4 linked regions of the Sus scrofa genome follow. The protein of the gene in region 1 interacts with the protein of each later gene in a pairwise test. Links are inferred from orthologs where the notes say so. Each region holds a gene or a part of one and is shown on either strand. Other genes may lie near its edges.

What was found. The genes of interacting proteins can lie anywhere in the genome.
Region 2: the proteins of PTN (region 1) and TAF1D interact in a two-hybrid assay, tested with the Homo sapiens proteins (2 studies listed by BioGRID and IntAct). The link is inferred for Sus scrofa from reciprocal best matches to the Homo sapiens genes PTN and TAF1D.
Region 3: the proteins of PTN (region 1) and CHD3 interact in a two-hybrid assay, tested with the Homo sapiens proteins (2 studies listed by BioGRID and IntAct). The link is inferred for Sus scrofa from reciprocal best matches to the Homo sapiens genes PTN and CHD3.
Region 4: the proteins of PTN (region 1) and SGTA interact in a two-hybrid assay, tested with the Homo sapiens proteins (2 studies listed by BioGRID and IntAct). The link is inferred for Sus scrofa from reciprocal best matches to the Homo sapiens genes PTN and SGTA.

Annotation. Positions count from the first base shown.
Region 1 is NC_010460.4:12,218,019-12,223,009, forward strand, and holds the start of PTN (pleiotrophin precursor), read left to right. Parts: upstream 1-1,781; 5' UTR 1,782-2,028; intron 2,029-2,038; exon of another isoform or gene 2,039-2,556; intron 2,557-3,727; exon of another isoform or gene 3,728-3,789; intron 3,790-4,991.
Region 2 is NC_010451.4:26,164,143-26,169,250, forward strand, and holds the start of TAF1D (TATA box-binding protein-associated factor RNA polymerase I subunit D), read right to left. Parts: upstream 3,141-5,108; 5' UTR 2,990-3,140; intron 1,233-2,989; 5' UTR 1,132-1,232; coding exon 1,073-1,131; intron 1-1,072. UniProt on the Homo sapiens protein: Component of the transcription factor SL1/TIF-IB complex, which is involved in the assembly of the PIC (preinitiation complex) during RNA polymerase I-dependent transcription.
Region 3 is NC_010454.4:53,137,219-53,142,180, reverse strand, and holds the start of CHD3 (chromodomain-helicase-DNA-binding protein 3), read right to left. Parts: upstream 3,141-4,962; 5' UTR 2,617-3,140; coding exon 2,523-2,616; intron 2,208-2,522; exon of another isoform or gene 2,193-2,207; coding exon of another isoform or gene 2,093-2,192; intron 1,533-2,092; coding exon 1,420-1,532; intron 947-1,419; coding exon 776-946; intron 503-775; coding exon 378-502; intron 1-377.
Region 4 is NC_010444.4:75,877,075-75,882,271, forward strand, and holds the start of SGTA (small glutamine-rich tetratricopeptide repeat-containing protein alpha), read left to right. Parts: upstream 1-2,057; 5' UTR 2,058-2,113; intron 2,114-2,131; exon of another isoform or gene 2,132-2,152; intron 2,153-5,197. UniProt on the Homo sapiens protein: Co-chaperone that binds misfolded and hydrophobic patches-containing client proteins in the cytosol. Mediates their targeting to the endoplasmic reticulum but also regulates their sorting to the proteasome when targeting fails.

The DNA.
Region 1 (4,991 bases):
GAGGTTCCCAGGCTAGGGGTCGAATTGGAGCTACAGCTGCCAGCCTATGCCACAGCCACAGCAACACCAGATCCAAGCCATGTCTATGAGCTACACCACAGCTCATGGCAACGCTGGATCCTTAACCCACTGAGTGAGGCCAGGGATCAACCTGCAACCTCATGGTTCCTGGTCGGATTCGTTTCCACTGCGCCTTGATGGGAACTCCTGTAACTCCTTTTTAAAGGCCTGGATGTGCCACTGCTATGGAGTGATAGTGAACATTGAGAAGGCTTTCAGGAAGGGGGCTGGGGGAAAAAATAACAAAAAATGATGACGTGCATTCCGTCCACAATTTATACAGGCCAAATCAGAAGAAAACCCACATTGCTTTACTTCATTGAGGAATTGGAATCACAAAAGGAAACAGGTGACCTGAAGTCTGTGTGTGGAAGGAAGACAGTTCCTTATTCATTCGTTTCATTGGCAGATGGCGTGAGGCAGGTGTATGGAGAGTTTAGTTACAGGGAGAGACTGGAGGTGGGCCAGTCACTATCCGATGCTGCTCCTTTTGAAAAGAAAGGGCTGACTAGTTCATTGATGAGAAGCTCTACTTGCAGACACACCTCTCTGCCCAATGTAGCCCCACCACGGTGTGTTTATCCACACAGCCCAAAGTCCTACGAACTACTTCCCATAACACAGAGCTTCTTGTTTGGGCTTTTAGGTAGAGTTTAAAGTAAATTTTAAGAGTTATATAAGGCGCTTCATAGATATTCATCAAATTGAATTGAAAGGATGTAACCTCAGAAGTACGGCACACAGAAACGTATTTTGCAACCACTTTTGGGGTGGGCACCAAATAATAAGCTAAAAGGAAGTAAAGGGAGCAAGACCAGGAGCAGGAAAAACGAAAGAACAGAGGAGAATCTCAAAACTTCCTTTTTGTTTGGGAAAATTGGTTTTACATTTAAATATTTTACACAATAATTTGATCTCATCTATATCACAAATATTCAACTATGTGCTACTTAAACAATCCTAGGTATATTACTTAGCTTTTTCCCTCATTCGAACAAAATGGAAATTACAGAAAGCCACGGAAGCCCAGCCTCTGGGTTTTCCAAACCTCAGAGTTTGGGCGACGTTGATTAATCTCCTAAATTCTTGGGTGTCAAAGGCACCAAGGAAGCCAGAAAAGGAAAGAGCCCCCAAAGGAAAGCGGCATTTCATTGGGAACTTTCAGACATCTGTCACTCTTTGTGACAAGTGCAAAAAAAATTCCTTTGCACATTTCGTGACTCACAGGTGGGATGGAACTGACAGCTGAAGTGACGGGAGCTGTGGGGGGGGGGGGGGCAAATGAGAGCCTGGCTTTGAAGATTGTGTTTTTCACGCAGCATCATTAAAACCAAAACCAAAACAAAACAAACACCTGAGACCAAAGTTGTCACCTGAAATGCCATAAGTGTCTGTTTAAAATGTCCTACTTGATATGACATGGGCTGGAGTATGCGCCCACCTAAAAGCGAGGTCACGCACAAAGTTGGGAAAAGAGACAATGCCCAGGTCTCTGCTGAAAAAAGAAATTTTGTTTCCTGCTCTGGCCCCTGGGTTCAAATCCCCGTGCTGGCGCCGGCGGGGAGAGAGGCCCCTGGAGAAGCCTGCTTTTAATGAGCTTCCCAATCAGCTCGCGAGGGCCAGGCGCGCCCCCTCCCTCGCCCAGCTCGCGTCCTCTCCCGGCCCGCTTCCCGCATCCCTCCCATTCTCCATTTCCCTTCCGTTCCCTCCCAGTCTGGGCGTGCTCGAGCCCAAGGCAGGATCGGGGTCCCCGCCTTCCAGTCCGAAAATCCCGCCAAGGGAGCCGAAGAGCAGAGGAAAAGCCAAAGTGGGGAGAGGGGACGAAAGAGACCTGTGAGTCACCGTGTGGCAGTCAGGGAGCAGCCGCTTCCGCGAGCAGCAGCGACTGGGGTACCTGGACTCCAGGCAGGAAACCTCGCCCCATCAACAAAGGCAGCCTGAGCGCGCACCACACGTTTGCAACTCCAAGTAAGTGGAAGGCGACGCGCGATTTCTCTGAGGTGTCTCCAGCCACTGTTCAGGGTGCCAGCGGATGATCGTGGCAGGAGTGGGTGAAAAGCTGCTGGTGCCTTTACTCCTGAGGCTGCTTTCAAAACTGATCTGCTCCAGAGGCATATTTGGGGGAAGTCAGGTCAGGATAGTTCAGGGTGCCCTTAGATGAGTGGAAGGAAAGAAGCTTATGCGATGTTATGCATGATTTTGCCTGTGTTCCTGAGTCCAGCTGGAGAACATGCAGGAGCTTTGCTTTTTGTAAAACCGGAGTTAGTAGGTGTGTCCATGGCTGGGTAGAGAAGAAAGTAAGCAGCCTGAGCAAGCAGGGCTCATTTTCCCATCCTTCTGCTTCCCGGATTGCCCCAGGGCTTACCAGCTGATGCATCTTAGCTGGCATTTCTGGGTACCAAGTGGGGGCTTGTTCCTCCCAGTGCCAGCTGACATTGAGCATCTCTTGCAGAGCATCTGGCATTCTTTGTTCTGCCTGCCAGCCCAGGAATGGTTCTAGAAATGGTTACATTCAAAGTTTGAAAGACACACCTTGAATCCCATTTCTTATTTGAATGATAATTTTAATAACTTCCCTGTACAGAGGCACTTGAACTTTTTATTTCACTCACCTACAGCTAGGATATATTTATTACTAGTCTGCTAGATACTTAGTTTCTGGTTGATGTTTCTAATAAGTTAAAATATCTTCAAAGGGAGAAATGTGTTCTACTCCTTCCCTTCCCTACTTAACAAACACAACATAAAACTTCCTGTCTCTTCAACACACACACACACACACCTTTTTCTTTAACACAAAACACAGACACAAGAAGACACATTGAGTTTTACTCACCCCCACCTCTGTTAATAGTTTTGAGGACACACTGAAAAAATAGGAGTGGCATGTGGGGGGGAGGGGAGGTGATGAGTGGGGAGAGTGAACTTTTCCAGAGAAATCAAAGTGCAGTCTTTCTGCATCTTTCATCTTCATCTTGGGGGTTATTTAGGAATTTTGCTTTAAGGGTTTGAGAAAGGTGATGTGTGTGTGTGTGTGTGTGTGTGTGTGTGGTGTGTGTGTGTGTGTGTGTGGGAAGGGCCTGGGAGGAGATCCAGGAACTACCAAGAAGAGCTTTTGAACTAATAACATAATGAAGCAGTTTTATGATCTCAGGCAAATGTGGAGTTGATGAAACAGCAAAGCCCATTTTTGCCCCTGGATCATCTGGGGATGAACTAATACTTGAAATACTATAAGAGGTAATGGGAGTGAAACAAAAGACGTGTCTCCCAGCATTGAAAATAAAGCTTTTATTTTCCATCATCGTTCTGTTCTTTTTTAAGTATATTATATGAAGACCAAATCCTTAAAAAAAAAAAAAATTATACTCCAGTTAAATTCAAAGGAAATTAGTGTGGACATTACCTATTTTCTTCCCTTTGGGATTATTTCAGAATGGTTATGTTTGTTTTTTCGATTTAAATTAGAGGATGAGCTTTTTAAAAATTATTTTATTATCAAAAAACCTAATGCCATTATTTGGGCTTTAATAAACCTTGGTGCTTCGAGTTCTCTAATTGTACTTTTAAATCTGTAGAAAGTGATTTTTCCTCTCCTCCTGTACCAGGCCCCTTTTAGAACTTTTTTTTTTTCTCATTTAGTGAAAGGCCTCTATAAGGAACCCACCTGAAGCTGTATTCCAGCTGTTTGCTTGTAGATACAAATGTATTAAATCCTCAAAGGTAGAACTGTGAGAGAAGAGAAACTACTGTTAATATGTGACTTTTTATTATCTGACTTCTCAGTGGGGTATTATATAGAATGAAAATAATATCATACTTAAGAATACTTATAGTATATTATGAATACAATATATAACCTGTAGTTCCCTAGACAGACCTCTTTCCATGGTATTGGGAATAATAAATTTACTAATTTATTAAAAATTTCCATGTACCTCATTTAGTCTTCCCACATACGCAATATGTAGCAGAACCCACCTTTTTTTTTCCTTTTTTTCACCACGCTGGAGGTATATGGAAGTTTCTGGGCCAGGGACTGAACCCCTGACTCAGCAGTTACTGGAGCTACTGCAGAGACAACACCAGATCCTTAAACCACCCGCTGCGCCACAGTGGGAATCCCAGGACCAACTTTTTGGGTTTTTTTTTTGGCTTTTTAGGGCCCCACCTGTGGCATATGGAAGTTCCCAGGCTAGAGGTTGAATTGGAGCTGCAGCTGCTGGCCTACACCACAGCCACAGCAATGCAGGATCTGAGCCACATCTATGACCTACATACACCACAGATCATGGCAATGCCAGATCCTTAACCCACTCAGTGAGGCCAGAGACTGACCCTGCATCATCATGGATACTAGTTGGGTTCATTACCACTGAGTCACAATAGGAACACCCAAAACTCACATTTTTAATGAACATTTTTGGTGTTTTTATCCTAGAAAATTTTCATAGAACCTTATTATTGGAAATAACTTGAGAGAAATAAGGTCCCTTAACATTTAATCATTTTGATTATAAAATCAATCTTCAAGGAGTTCCTGTTGTGGCTCAGTGGTTAACGAATCTGACTAGGAACCATGAGGTTGCGGGTTCGGTCCCTGGCCTTGCTCAGTGGGTTAAGGATTCGGCATTGCAGTGAGCTGTGGTGTAGGTCGCAGGCACGGCTTGGATCTGACATGGCTGTGGCTGTGGCCAGCGGCTACAGCTCCGATTAGACCCCCAGCCTGGGAACCTCCATATGCAAAAATAAAATCAATCTTCGAAATTAAATATTTTGAGTTTAAATTTTTTTTTCCTTTTGAAGACACTCTTGCTTTCTCATTTAAACAGCATTCTCACATGAATTCTGATCATATTCCTATTTGACTTGTGGTATTTTATTACTCTTCAAAATTTTCTCAGGAGACTTAGTTTGGTTGGCTTATTCAA
Region 2 (5,108 bases), on another chromosome or scaffold:
AGCAGGAAAACATACTCCAGATGAAAAAATGGTCTCAGTAGCAGCCAACCACTTAATTCTGACCACTCTACCTCAAATGGCCCATGCCATGTGGCATAATGCCAAGCACTTACCAAAAAATGATCTTCTAAGTTCCAAAGGCAGCCTTGTTGACTGCTAGAGCCTCCACTAAATAAGACAAAGTCTCCTCTAAGTAAAAAGAGTAGCCCTAGTAGATACCTGATGTGAATATACTAGAAATGCTGATTTGATTTCCCAGTGAGATCAATGGATTAGGTAACTGGTTATCTCCATCATACATAAACCAGCATCCTTAATAATGTGAAATATCAGAATATCCATTCTCTTGTTACACAACAGAATGATTTAGTCAGGAAAATACCAATTTGGCCCAGAGAATACACTCCTGATTTGATTCCCTGGGTTACAAACACGTCCCACTATTCCAAAGTAGTTAAAGCGAAAGTCTGTGGAAACTGGGTTTTCCTTTTTTTCCAATTCTTAAAAATTACCTTACAAACTATTCATTATCTACAATGATGCATGCTATCACAGCAATTCCAATACAGTAAACATTATCACCTAGTCTGTTCCCAGGAAAACCTGGTGGTAGTTAACTGAGAAATAAAAACACTGCCTGCTCTATCAGTAAGCAAAGGATGTCAGTCATCAGTGATTTCAGCCACCTCCGATGGTGAGCTGGTGAGCCCTGAGCGAACACAGGCAAGAAACACCTGCCAGCCAGCAGCCACACCATATAGTGAGCCCTGAGGAAACTCAGGATGGAAAAACAGGGGATACTGGCTAGAGACAGCTGAGGTGCACATCAAAGACGTTATTTCAGTGAACCCAGACCTTGGCATCTTCTCATACAAAGACATGTGCTGAATTCCTTAACTTGAGGTTATCTGCCCTTCGTTACAGGACCCTCCCCTTGTCACCCTGCAAGAGTTCTCTCTGGGTTACTTGAGATGCTGCCTCCTAGACTTAAATCCTCATTTTGCCCCAAATAAAACTTAACTCACAGTTGTGCATATTTTTTATGTAGACATTTTTTTAGAAAAACACTTACCTTTGATTCTCAATTTCCAAAGCTGAATCAGAAACTGTTGTACAATTGTGAGAATCCATCTTGATATATAGTCTTCAAGCTCCTCTCAAAATTGTCACTTGTCCTTTGCTTTAAACAGACTTCTGACCATATGAAATCTGGTAGATGTGATGTAGTTTCCCTGAACAAATAAATGCCAACAAAACAGCTAGGATCAGAGTAATGCAGATATTGATGTAGTCAATTACGAAAATTAAGACAAAAATGAATGTAAGGCCTTTAATATTCTCATATACAACTGTCTAATTCTAACATCTAAAGATTTTATTCATGGGTTCTTTCAGTTGTGCCTACTTAATCCATCCTATAGAACAAGATTCCAGATTTCCTACAGGAGTGTCAAACTTCTTTTCCCTAACAGTAAAAATGTAATTTTTACCCTTAGCCATACAGTCATGTAGTTACAAATAGTAATGTTCAATTAATGGCCAAAAAGCCATTTGCCAACAGTGGTGGGAACCAAGAAATCTCTTGCATAACAAAGATTAAGTCCCACAAAGGCAGCCTTTGGCCTCAGTATACCCAGAAAAATTATTTGGACTTACCTAAACCTAACCTTCAGGTCTGCAATTTTCATTTATGGCCTCTTTCCCTCACTAGATTTTAAGTTACTGTGAAACCCCTTCCTTGATAAATTACTTCTTTGCTACTATGGGTGTTAACCCAAAGTTCTGAATTCTCACTTTTCAATGTACAGACTACAATAAATGGTGCCCTTTGTCTCCTTTAAAAAAAAATCTCCTTGGAAGATTTTACAGTAGTTTGGGAAAAGTATTAAAGATGTCTTATTTTGTTCTGTTTCATTTCCTTATGAGGATGTCATCATTCTTCATTTTTTTGTGGTGTTCTTAGTCTAACATTCTTAGTAATGACACATGAGTAATGATGAAAGAAATCCTTCAGCAGCAGTATTTGAAATCTAAGAAATCAATAAGATCACCTAGATCTTAAATTCACAATGTCTCATGGACTCGTGTGATAATTTCATAGTGTTTTATTGCAGTTTTCAAAACTGCGTTAACCTAAGAAATAAATCATGAAAACAGCCTAAAAAAGAAATTCAACAAAAACTGGATCCAATGGCAATGATGGAATACCTGACATTAAGTTTAAAATAATTACAGAGCACACTATCAAAATTAAGTAAGCTTAACTCAAAAATGTTTTTCAAGAGTTTCTATTGTGGCTCAGTGGGTTAAGGACGGGACGCTGTCTCCGTGAGGATGCGGGTTCAATCCCTGGCCTCACTCAACGATCCCGCGTTGCTGCAAGCTGCTTGGGTCACAGATCCAAATCGGATTCTGCATGGCTGTAGTGTAGGCCGGCAGCTGTAGCTCCGGTTCAACCTCTAGCCTGGGAACTTCCATATGCTGCGGGTGTGGGGATAAAAATAAGAAAAAAAAACTTTCGGGAACTAGAAAGCATTCCTATCGCTTCCTGTTCCGGGATTCTGCAACAAGGGGCCACGGAGCCAGGCAGTGCTCTTTAGCAGCTTTAACAAAATCCCTTCAACTCTTACTTAGTGCGACCTTGGGGCGAATGTCTCCAGAAGTGCCTAACCTCGTGCAAGGAAAATGGCGTCGGTAACGGTTACCTCGCACTTAACCACCACTAATTGAGAAAACGTGCACTCGCTTCAATACACTTGCACTTCAACACCCACAACTCCGATAACGGCCCACGCGCTTAGCCTGTACCTGTGAGTCCTGCCGCCCAGAGCAGAGCCCACAATCACCGCGAGCCCTCCGCTCCCGCTGAGCCGCGCAGGCGTCCCGGGAAAAGTGAAAAGCGCCAGGCCCTCCCCCTCCTTCGCCCACAAGGCCCCGGCGCCCAAGTCCTCTTTCCTATCCGTCCAGACCGCGGACGGCTTATACCAACCTGTGCCCGCTCTGCGCACGGGTCTCCGTTGGCGTCCTCGGTTGCAGCCCCGGCCTCAGAAACCCGCGTTGGGCGCGCAGGCCCAGAAAACACCCAACCTCCACAAACGCGCGGAAGAAAAGGCTGGGCTAGTCCCGCGTCCCAGCTAATAGTGGCCCCGAAGTCTCGCGATAACAATTTGACTGCAGGAAATAACAGAGAGATAGGAGAAAACCAGACGCGGCGCTCCATATTGGCTGCCGCGAGGGGCGGGGCGATTTAGAGTGGGCGGGACCTGAGCTTTTTAACCCAGGGGAGGCGGACTTGACTGAGGCCAGGCCAGGCTTCTGGTGTACGCGTCCTGAACCGGTAAGGTAAATGGAATAGTCAAGAACGTTTGGGCAAACTATGAAAAAGAAATTGTGGGGGCAGGGGAACGGAATGAATGTGAACTGCGAGGAAGAGCCACTTCTCCTGCTTTGACTCCAGTGGTCTCCCTTTGCTGAGCTGTCCTCCGACTTTCCAAAGTCTGATTCCGGGTGTGTGTGTTTGTGTGTGTGTCTACTTTTGCCTTCAAAAATCTCTTCTGTGTAAAATTGTGAGAGGATCATGCTGTGACTGAGAATCGAAATGTGTAACCTTTGTACTAGAAGCCATTGTTATCCAGTTACGCACTCAGTTCCCTCTCCACCTTCGGACTTGTTTTGTTAACTCAGTCTTTCTTTTGGAACTAAGGGTCAGCCTCCCAGGAGGTGGTTAACACATCGCAAGAGATGCCAGCGGGGGCCTTTTTTTTTTTTCTTTTTAGCCCTCTTAGTTCCCTGAGCGGTAAATGAGTGTTAAGGTAGAAGTTAAACTAGTTTAGTTTTGGTGGCAATTTTTTCCCCCGAAGTAGTTACAAAAAAGGAATGAGCTGTCCTGATTTGTCTACTTTCAGACCTCTTGTATCATATAATAAAACCAGGAAAGCTGTCTCGTGTTAATTTGTGGTTAGTGTCATCTCGGGATAGGACAGACCTGGAAGGTAATCAGGTTTCTTTACTCAATTTTTCTCTAAATGTTGTTCTAAATTCCAGGCGCAGAAAGTCTGGTTTTCTAGGCATTATGAAGTACTGTCAGCTCCAGGACAGGTATCACATGTCTTAGTCACTGCTATATTCCTAGGCAGGCCTGCATATGCAGTTTGTGAAGCTCAGTACAAAATGAAAATGCATGTATTTTATATGCATAACTGATTCACTTTGCTGTAAACCTGAAGCTAATAAACATGGTAAATCACATATACCCCAATAAAATTTTATTCTATTTTATTTATGTTTTTTAGGGCTGCAGGTGCAGCATATGTAAGTTCCCAAGCTAGGGATCCAATCAGAGCTACAGCTGCCAGCCTACACCACAGCTGCAGCAACATGGGATCCAAGCCACATCTGCTGGATCCCCAACCCACTGAGTGAGGCCAGGGATCAAAACCTGAGTCCTCATGGATACTAGTCGGGTTCATTTCCACTGCACCACAACAGGAACTCCATAAAATTTTAAGAAAGAAAGAAAATGCAGGGTCTTGTTCAAAAATCTGGGGGAAAATGCCGTTAAAGTTACTGAAGTACAAGCTGTCCCCTTTCTTCTGTAGCATCTCTTTTGACTTGTCATGGTGTTTTAATTAATAGCATTAATTTGCTATTTATTGTCATTCTAGGTAAAGAAAAATTAAACATTTGAATCAATAGCATGAGTTTTACCACTCTTTATATTGTCCAATGCTAGCTTTAAATACAGACATCAGAATGTTTGAGTCATCTGCAGAAGCATTGCACATACTCCACGGTCCTTTCCATCTTAAAGGGTTCAAATGTAAAGTTAGGAATTGAAAGATGGTGACAACAGAGCATAAACCAAGTGCTACTCTGAGCACATGGTCCTGTGTGACTATAGGAGTTGCACATGCATGAAGCCAGCCCTGTCCTAGAACCTGCTGCGTGTGGAATATTGTAAATGCTCAATAAAAAAAATTAAGGCTGAGCTGGTATCCAGTCCTATCTTCAAAGAAATCGTAGTCTAAGGGAAGGAAACAAAGCAAACAGATGATGACAGTTATACTGAGTGCTATAGGATCCTTCTGTACAATTCTCCCTCATGGTGA
Region 3 (4,962 bases), on another chromosome or scaffold:
ACAGATGGCTAGATCCCTGAGCAAAGGACACTGGGGGACACGAATGTTCTCTCTCCACTCCAGTCTAGACAGAAGTCAGCCAGGGGAAACTGCTGGAGCAGGAGGCCATCAGTCCTCCCTGAGTCTGTCACTACAGTTTTCTAACCTGGCAGTGGAACTGTGTCCCCCCCCCCCCCCCCCAGTGAAGGGTTCCTGACTGGAGTCCTTGGATCCTCAGGAGCCCAGGAATTTCCTGAGATGACATGCGGAATTTGATGTGTACATGCTGTGAATTTCTCTGGAGAGCAGTTTCTTATCTTCCACCAGGTTCCAGAGGGATCCAGGGCCTCCCCCTATTAAATGTGTCTGCTCGCAGGGACTCCCCAGTCCTACCGCACCTCATGAACTGGCTGAAGGCTTTGTAGTTGGTGAGAGTGTGGTAGTCCTCTTCGGAGAACACATGCTCCACGTCCTCCAGGCCCCAGGTCAGAAGCAGGGTTGCTGACGACTTCTGCTCCACCTGCTGGAGAGACCGGGCTTCCGTGAGGAGGGCGCCTCTCCAGCCCCAGTCCTGGACCCCCACATGCTCCTCTACACACCCAGGCACCCAGCAGGGGCACCCAGCAGCCTCCCGAGGCTTTCTGCCCCTGCCCCCTTCCCAGCCGGCTCCCCTCCTCCCCAGGGGAAACTAGACTTTCCACTTAGCATCTGCTCGTCCCCTCGCTCAGGGCTTTCCCTCCTCCGCCTCCACCTGTCAATGATCCTAATTCTCCCCTCACGCCCTAAATCTACTCACCTTTTGCCCTCCATCTCCCTCCCCTTTTTTCCGCCGCTTTGTCTTTTTCTCCTTTTTTTCTCGGTGCTTCCTTCTCCGTTTCCGACCGGGTCCGGTTCCATATTCACTGCCTCCACTCTCCGACTTCTCCCGGTACTCATCTCGCTCAGAGCCAAATTCCTCCTCGCTGTCCTAAGGGAGAGAAATAAAAATAGAATTTCTTTAGCCCTACCATGTGCCAGAAACTTTTCTAAGCACGTAACGTGTGCTGTCTCTTTCAAACCTCACAACGACCCCATGAGATAGTAACTTATCTATTTCTACCCACTTTTTGCAGATGAGGAAACCGAGGCACAGAGAGCCAAGCGAACTGCTCGAGAAGACAGAGGACTACGGGGCTCGGAATTCATGCAGTCTCCTGCCGGAGCCTGGGCTTTCACCTGCTCCTCTCTCCTCCAAGGCCAGTCACGGGGCCCACAGGGCTCCCCACTAGGATGCAGTGAGGGAGGCTAGGGTGCCAGAGCCCAGCTGAGGGGGCTGCGTAGAGGGGGTCAGGCCTTCCCGACTTCAGGATCCCCCCCTGGTAATCAGGACCAGAGGAAGCGCAGGCCTCTGCAAATGGGTCCCCGGGCCTAGCTGTAGAGACAGGAGTCCTGCACACTTACAAGCTTCTTGCGTTTTCGGGGTTTCCCTGGCTTGTTCTCCTTCTGCTTCTTGGGTCCTCGTTTTCTCTTCTTCACACCCAATGCTGAAGGCAGCAGCCGAATGTCATCTTTATCTTTGGAGCAGAGGGCACCAGAAAACTTAAGTCTCTATGTTCCCAGGCTCTGCGGCCCCTCCACTGCCTCACCTCCTAGGTTCTCACTCTCTAGGAACTCCCAGCATTAACTCTTCCAAATCCTGCCGCCCTTCGCTGGATGCACCCGAGTGTTTCGAGTACTCTGGGATGCTCGGATTCTGAATGGGAGGTCAGGGGTCAGAAGGGAAGAGCAGCCAAACCACTCCCTCCTCTCCCCTCCTACTAACAAGGGACCAGGCTCTAGGCCACGGGCTCTGACTGTGGCAGGTCCTTTTAGTCGCCGCCAGGGCTCCTCCTGCCTTCCCCCTCACTTAGCCAGCTGGCATCCTGCCCAGGAACTGGGGAAGCCATGCCCAGCTGCTGGCCTGGCCTGACCCCAGCACTTGGAGTGGGGAGACACAAGCTGGCAGCTCCCTAAGCCAGATGCTGAGAAGGCAGAGCCAAAGGTGGACACCTGGATTCTCACGCTAACACCCTGGGGCCCTGACATGCTTTTTGTGAGGAGGGAGGCCTCTATTTATAATTCCTCAGAGAGTCACCAAATCTCCTGTCACCCCAGCACAGCCCTGGAGGAAAAGAAATCCTCAGCCAGTCATGCCCACTTCTTGCCCACAGGATGGCGGGGTCTGGCTCCTGCATCACCACCGTCACCCCATAGGAGAAGAGCTCCACAATTACCTAAACATTCCTCCTCCTCCCAAGCAGCCTGGAATCCGCTTCAAATCTATTTTCACATCCCTGAGAACTCAGGGGCCCTACCCTTTGTCCTCTGGTCTCACCCCTTGTCTTCAAATTTAGTCCCAGACATTCTGACCCGTTCCTATGTCAAGAGTGTGGGAGACCCAAACAAAGATACTGGACCCCACCCACGGCACGCACATGCTCAAATGCTGAAGCCTCACACACACACACACACACCACACACACACACACACACGTAGGAGCACAAACCCTGAAGACAGCCTGTACCTGCTTCCCGCAGGGCTAGGGCCCTGGCTTTCTCTCCAGATGTTTCTGTCAGAGAGGCTGGGGCTGCTTCTTCCCAGATGTCCCCCCACCTCATTCTCCATGACCCCTGCCAGTCTGTGGTGGCTTAGGCGACAGAGCATAACTCCACCAGGAGGAAGACGCTGATGGATGCCACCCAGACATGAGGCCCTGCTTGGCCTCCCTCCTCCAGCAGGCACCAGACTAACCAGCCAGACCTGTCTTACTCAGGCAGAGGCAGCTGTGCAGGAGAGGAAAGCCTGGGCCTGGCCCAGCCCCTTGCTCTGGGACACACAATCCTTCCTCCCACACCAGCCAAGGGAAAATTAGCCACAATTAACACCGGAGGCCTCGGTTTCCATTGCCTCAGAATCCTGGCACCTCCTTCCTTCAGTGCTGCTTCTCCTAGTCCTGGGCCCTCCCCAGCAGGGAGACACTCTAAGACTGGGGTGGGGGTGGGGGGGCGCGTGAGGGCAGCCCGGGCACTGAGTGGGGCCTGCAGGAGGAAGTCAGTAAAACGCCGGTGCCCAGCAGCCAGCGCTCCCTAACCCCGGGGACTTCGGTTAATAAGAACATGGAAATGGAGGCTGCCGGGGCAGTGGCAAGGGCAGGCCAACTGGCTAAGGATCAGGGAAATGGCCCCGCCTCCGCCCGCGGGGGGGGGGGGCACAAGCCCTGGGACCTCACAGCCAGTTAACTCCCCCCCACCCCCGCCGCGCGCCCCCCGCCGCCCGGCAGGAGGTTCCCGAGGCTGGGCAGGCGGCGGCGGCGCGGAGAGGCAAGGGAGACGGCGAGGAAGGGGAGGGCAAGAAAGCAAATCTAAGTCCCAACCTCTGTCTCACCAGCCACTCAATGCTGGCCCGGAGCCCAGACGCTCCCACATCCCGGCTCGGATCTCGGGAAGACGGCGAGGGAGGAGGGCGGCGAGGAGGGCGGGCGGAGCCTGGCAGCCCAGAAAGCAGGAGGAGCCCGGCCGAAAGCCTCGCCTCCCGCCCGCCCCTCTCTTCTTCTAATCTCACCATCAATCTCTCACACATATATTTATTTTTTCTCAAATTCCTCTCCCTCCCCCACAACGAACCACCATAATAGGTCGGCTGCACATGCGTAGTGCCTGCAGGGGGTGGGTTTGTATTTTCAGACCTTTTGCAAAGAAACTACCAGAATTTTCCGCACCACCCACACGCATTCCCCACCCCCACCCCCAAGGAATCACATCTATATATTATGTTATATTATTTCTCTAGACTTGCCAGAAGGGGGAGGGAGAAGAAATGAGTTTTTGGCTTCCTGCTCCCTTCCCCCATCTGCACGAGCGCTATTATTTTAAACGTCTAACAATGTAAGGAGCCTGGAGAGGGGGAAGGGATAAAATTGGTCTTGGGTAAGAATGTAAAACAAAATGGTGAGAATCAAAGCAGTCGGAATGAAAAAAAAAAAAAACAATAGAAACCTCTAACACGGATAAATTCATCTCCTAGAGAAGGACGAGGGAGGGCAGCCTGAATACATTTGCCTCAGAGGAGGGTTATTTTGCCCACGCTTCTGTAGACAGAAATAATGGGCAGACCGAAAATATTTTCCTGAAGTTTTACCTCAGAAAGTCATCTGAGGGGGTGTATCCGGGTCCCCCGTTTGACTTGGAGGGCTGAGAGGGACATAAAATTGCCCTGGGAGAGAGAGGAGGTGGGTTTCCATTTCCAACGCACAATTTTAAAAACATTCGACGTTGTTTAGAAAGCGGAGGGGAAGGGGGAGGGAGTACTGACACAAAGACCCATCTCGACCTCAGATCCCTTCATGCTCCCCCTCTCCCACACCCAAATCCAGGGTCAAAGCCCCCCAGACGCCACGTTCCAGGTTCGGAATACACACAGGTGAGAATAGCCAGCCCCTTAACTTCACCTGACACCCTTTCTCTTTTTAGCACCTCTGCCGTGCTCCAGGCAACCCCTTGCCCTCAATTCTTTATCCCTTTTCCCCCCTGCAAAATCAGTGGGCTCTCTGGGCAACTTTTTAAAAACTTTTCCCTTTTTCAGACAAGCCTAGGGGCCAGAGTGGGGGTAGGAGTGGACTTATCTGTTTCCATCAGACAGGCATCCCCCTCCTCGCCACCAAGAAAGCACCCCCCGCTCCCTCAAAGGCCGTCTCAACTAGACAGGAACATTTGCCACATGAGCCACCCAGATCAATATGACAGTTTTACCAAGAACCTGATGTCAGATGTTTTGAAGTTTGGTGCATTTGCGCTGCATGGCACCCAGAGGCCTGGGGGTGTGAACACCCGAAAGATGCTCACCTAGTCTATCCTAAAAAAGACTAGCAACACTCCACCGGGAAGGTAGCCAGAATGGGGCCCCTGGACGCGAGGCAGCCGTCAGGCCCTCCAGCGCGGGCGGAACTGCCCAGACAGTGCGGGCGA
Region 4 (5,197 bases), on another chromosome or scaffold:
AGCAGAAGAAACATGGAGTTTGCCGAATGAGTGAAGGCGCGCTGGAACACGGATTCATTCTGGGGCTCGCCGACCCCCTCCTCCGTTCGGGCCCGGATCACTTGAGGGTCACTGGGCTCCGCTCGTAGGCCCCAGTGGCGACCCCGGGGAGGAGGCAGGAGTGCGCACGAGTGCGCACCGGGCGCCCGGATCTGGTGAGCGGGGCCGCACCAAGGGGAAGCAGGTACCTGCTGGGGGCTTCATGGTGGGCGAATGTTCAGTGACGGCCCCTCCCTCCACCTGGTCCGCGTCGGAGCAGCGGTCAGCAGCCTCGGTCCTCTCTGCTGCCGCAGCTGTCCCGACTGAGGCGCCCGCCGCCCGCGCGCCCACCGGATGCTGGGAGAGCGTGTGTGCTGGATAGTAGGGCGCAAGCGCGCGCCCTAGCCCCACCTACATCGCGAGGCGGAGCGCAGGGGCGCAGACTTCCTCTGCGCGGTCGCTTGAACCACCCCCGTCCATCATTGGCTCTTAGTGGTGAGAGGGCGGAGCCTTCGGGAAGGCTAGCGGGGGAGGTGTTTCCAGGGGAACCCACCCCGCAGGCGCCTCGAATCTTTTCTGCGGCTCTTTGTGCCAGTCGTTCGTTTGGGCTTCTAGCTCCTGTATTAATTTGTCATTACCTCCTCCCAACCTTAATTGTGTATTTGGCTAGTTTTGCAAGTTTTTACCTTCACCTAAGGCGCTCCGTTAGTGGTCGCTTACGAAACCTCAGGCACTTATTCCATTACCAACATCCTGCTCATCTTCTAGCATCTAATGGTTAAAGGTCCTCCACATATACCAGCTGAATCCAGTTAGACAACCAAATTAAGAAGACATTTATTTAAAAAGCAGAAATGTAAGCAAGCATCATTGAGAAAGCTTCAGTAAACCGATGCAGAACTTCAAACAACAGGTGTGTTGGAACTGTGCCTTACCTGCATGTAGTATTGTCAGTTAAAAAAAAAAAACAAAAAACACCTTGAACCGTCTAAGGCACACAGAAAGAAAAACCTAAGAAAATTAAAACTGGTCCCTAAACCTACGTCTTTTATTTCTGCAAAATAAATGAAAATAACCCAGGGTGTTGAGTAAACCCAGGGTGTTGAGTACATGCATTTTAAGTTGAATAAAAATGAATTAGGAAAAAAAAAAATGAATTGGGAGAACACTCTGGCAACTTGAATGCTAATGGTGGTCATTTAATAGGGAATGTCTCATTACTGACCTTCGATTTCTTTCTCTCTTGAGCACATCCAGCGTAATCCTACGTTAGTCTTCATTTTTGCTGTTCCCTGTACCTGGAGTGTTTTCCCAGTTCTCCAAATCTACATGTGAAACAGAGGTCTTCCCTAACCAACCCAACAAATTTACCGCCCCAATCACAATCAGAACACCCCATTTTTTTCTACACAGTGCTTGCCATTAAGTAGAACTTGTTCATTTACGTATTAGTTTACCAGTTTATTGTCTGTGTACCCCAATACAAGGTAATGAAAGCAAAAGTTTTGCTGGTCTTTATAGTTTGTGTGTAATAAATACTTGTTTACTATTATGCACCTACTGTAAACAAATATCTTAGTATTCATTCTTATGGATTGAATGAATGAAATAACGAACTCGCGGATGTTTGGGTGGGTGAATATATGAATAAATACAGTGAGAGGGTAACAGTCGCCCCCACTCAAAGACCGCCTGTGATCCTCTGGGCGCCAGATACCCAAAAGCAGCAGGTGCACCACGTGGCGGACACGGTGCCACGTGACGGGCTCGGCCGACCCACAAGAGTCCACCACTGTCCCACCATGCACCGCTCCATTTCGGCCTAGAGGACAAGTTGATCCGGATTTCCGGCCTCCGTTCGGTCGCAGAGGTCAGTTGCCCTAACGACGAGCTCGTTCCCGCCTCTACATTACGTCACTTCCTCCTACTCCCGCCTTGATAATTGGTGCGCCTGCGCAGAATGAAATCCAGCGGCCACCGGCTCCTTCTGCGCAGGCTGCGGGGCTGGGGGCGGAGCGGGGCTGGGGGCGGGGCCGGGCAGTGCCGCGGTGCGCAGGCGCCGCCGTCGGTGGGTCCGGGTTCGGCTGCTTGAGAGGTGAGTCGCGGGTTCGGCGCTGAGCCGGATGTACCTGGGGTCAGTGGCTCGGGGCTCCTGGGGTTCCGGGGTGGGTAAGAGGACGTCGATCTGGGGCGGGGACGCCGCAATTGGGGGAGTGTTGTGAGTGAGCAGCGCGGAGGGAAACTGAGGGCAGGAGGTATCGGGCGGGCCTTTGCCCGCCGGGATCTCCCTCCCCTGGACCCTAGGCCCGGGAAATGCGGGTTCGCAGGTCCGTGAGTGGATAGCAGGAGGTAAAGCGCCCCGCACGTAGTAAGCGCTCGCCGAGTGGCCGCTGCTTCCCGGAAACACGGTTCTTTTAAGCCGGAGTCCCTCTGTTCCTGGGGTTCAGGTCGGGGTTCCTGTCCCAGCGCCGCCTCCACCTTGGTCAGTCTCTTGGCGTCTCGGAACCTCAGTTTCCCCTTCTGTAAAACAGGCGTTGTCACAGCCTCTGCCTAGGATTGGGGGGCTTCCCATGAGAATTAAAGTCGCAGAGACCCCAGCGCAACGTGAGAACACAGGAGGGGTCTTTTTTCACACTGAGGGCCTCTGCATGGTGTGCTGAAGTGAGACAAATCTGGGGTTGAAGACTAGGTCCTCCACCCCTGCTGGCTGTGGCCTCTTGGGCAAGTCGCTATCCGTCTCCCCCAGCCCTTTCCTTTTAGAATAGGGACTGTAGAAGTGTATGCTTCTTAGGGTCATTGTGAGGTTAAGTACACCTGGAGCATTCTTTAATCGGGTTCCTGCTACTTGTCTTCCTAGACGACAACTGGTTTTGTTAAGTGGCTGGAAGTGTGTGCGCTCTGCATCCCTGCTGAGTGATGTTCTTATTTTTTTTGGTGTTTGGTTTGCTTTTCCTCTCCCTAGACCAGTGGTTTTGTCCTTTTAGCGGACACTAGGCAATGTCTGAGGACATCTGTGGCTGTCACAACTGGGGGTGCTCCTGGCACCGAGGGGGTGGGGGCCATGTATGCTGCCCCATACCCCACAGTACCCAGGATGGGCCCACAGAGAACAGTCTGGCCCCAGATGTCCATGGTGCCAAAGCAGAATCCAACCCTAGACTAGTGATTCTTCACCAGTGTGCTTGCTGCACAGAGGCAAGGGGTGTGTGAGCCCCTGAGAAGTCACGTGCAAGGTTTTGTGTGTGTGCCCACTTTTGTGGTTGAGGAACGGGTATCTTGGAGTTCAGACTCTGAAATCAGACCATTTAGAACTGATTTGCATTTTAGCTGGGTGACCTTGGGTGGCACCCCCATCTTTAAAAGCCTCATTTTTTTGTTCTATAGAATGAGTTAGATTAAACAAACTGTAACCGGGGGGGTCAGGTCACCCTGCAGTCTGTTTTAGTGAAAGATTTTGTGGGAACACAGCCCACATACCACAGACGTGTTACCTGTGGCCTGAGAAGCTGGCCCTTTTCAGAAAATGTTTTGCTGACCCCTGAAATAAGCTTTTGCATATACAGCACTCGGGTCAGGGCATGAAAAGTCCTGAACACTCCAGGAATTTCACCTGAGGTTTATAATTCATTCTCCCATGGCTCTGGATCGGGTTAAGCTCTGACCTGGATTAAGAGCTGTTCTTACTTGGTTCCTGCATTTTCTAATTTTTTTTTTTTTCTTTTTAGTGCCACACCTACAGCATATGGAGGTTCCCAGGCTAGGGGTGGAATCGGAGCTACAGCTGCCGGCCTACACCAGGGCCACAGCAACTCGGGAACCGAGCCACATCTGCAACCTACACCACAGCTCATGGCAACACCCAGATCCTTAACACACTGAGCAAGGCCAGAGATCGAACCTGCAACTTTATGATTCCTAGTCTGATTGGTTCCCACTGCGCCACAGTGGGAACTTCTAATTTTTTATTTTTGTTTTTTTGCCAAGACCCAATGCTGGCCCCTGTAGCCAATGCACCTGAAAGTGAAAGAATAAAGGGGACGGCTGATAGGTGGACAAATACGGATTTGTCGTTCTCTACTGACGAGGAAACCCAAGAGAAATGATCTCCCAAGTGAACCTGGCCACGTGGCTCTGAACATGACAGGGATCCAAAATTTTCCTGAGTCCATATGGACTGGAGAAGGTGATCCGTCCAATGGCTCACAGTCTGTGGGTGGTGGGCAGGCCAGGAATAGGCTGGAAGGCCTTGTAGGAGATGCTGGGCCAGAGGCAGGGCTGGCACTTGAGCTTGCTGGAGGAGGAGGGTGTCTAGCTCTGTCTGAGGAGGTGACCTACCGGCTTGGTTGAAGGGAAAGTGTATGGTCCCTGGTGACGGGAGGAGAGGAGAGGGTTGGGTGTAGGCAGAGCATGGGGGCTTTGGTGGGGTTTCCACTCAGGAGGTTTCAGGGAGCCATGGAAGGTTTGCAGTGTGGAGAGCAGGCTTGAGATGGAGTTCCAGCTTTCGGGATGGCCCTCTTCTGAGGATCTAAGGTGTCCGGGGAGGGGAGGGAGGAGCAGAGGACAAGCTAGCACACACCAGGTGTTTGTGAGAAGAGCTAGATTTGGGGTGGAGGTGGGACCGGGCAGCCACTCAGAAAGAGGATGTTCTTTCCTGGGGCCCAGGTCCAGGTCACTCATATTTATTTCTTTTTTAATTTTTTAATTTACATTTTTACTTATTTAATTTTTTTTGGCTGTGCCGGTGGCATGTGCAAGTTCCCGGGCTGGGGGTTGAACTCACACCACGGCAGCAACCCAGGATCCTTAACCTGATAAGTGACAATGCCAGATCCTTAACCTGATGATCCACAAAGGAACTCCCCGGCTCACTCATCTTAGTGAGGCATGCATCTTCCCCTTCGAATGTTCAGTTTTGGGCAGGGAAACAAAAGGAATGGGGTGTTTTTAATAATAAGATGAAAAGGTGAGCCAGCCTCTGTCCCCGAGCCAGGCTCTCACCTGCAGACCAGCACCTGGGGTTCCTCCTGAGCCTCACAGAACCCAACAAGTCGTGATTGTTCCTCAGTCCCCAGGGCCCAGTGGAAAAGCGCATCTTCGCCTCACTGGGCCACCAGGAGCAGGAAGGCAATGAGGGAGCAAAGAGAGTCTGTGCCACGGGGGAGGAGAGCGGAAGTCCTCT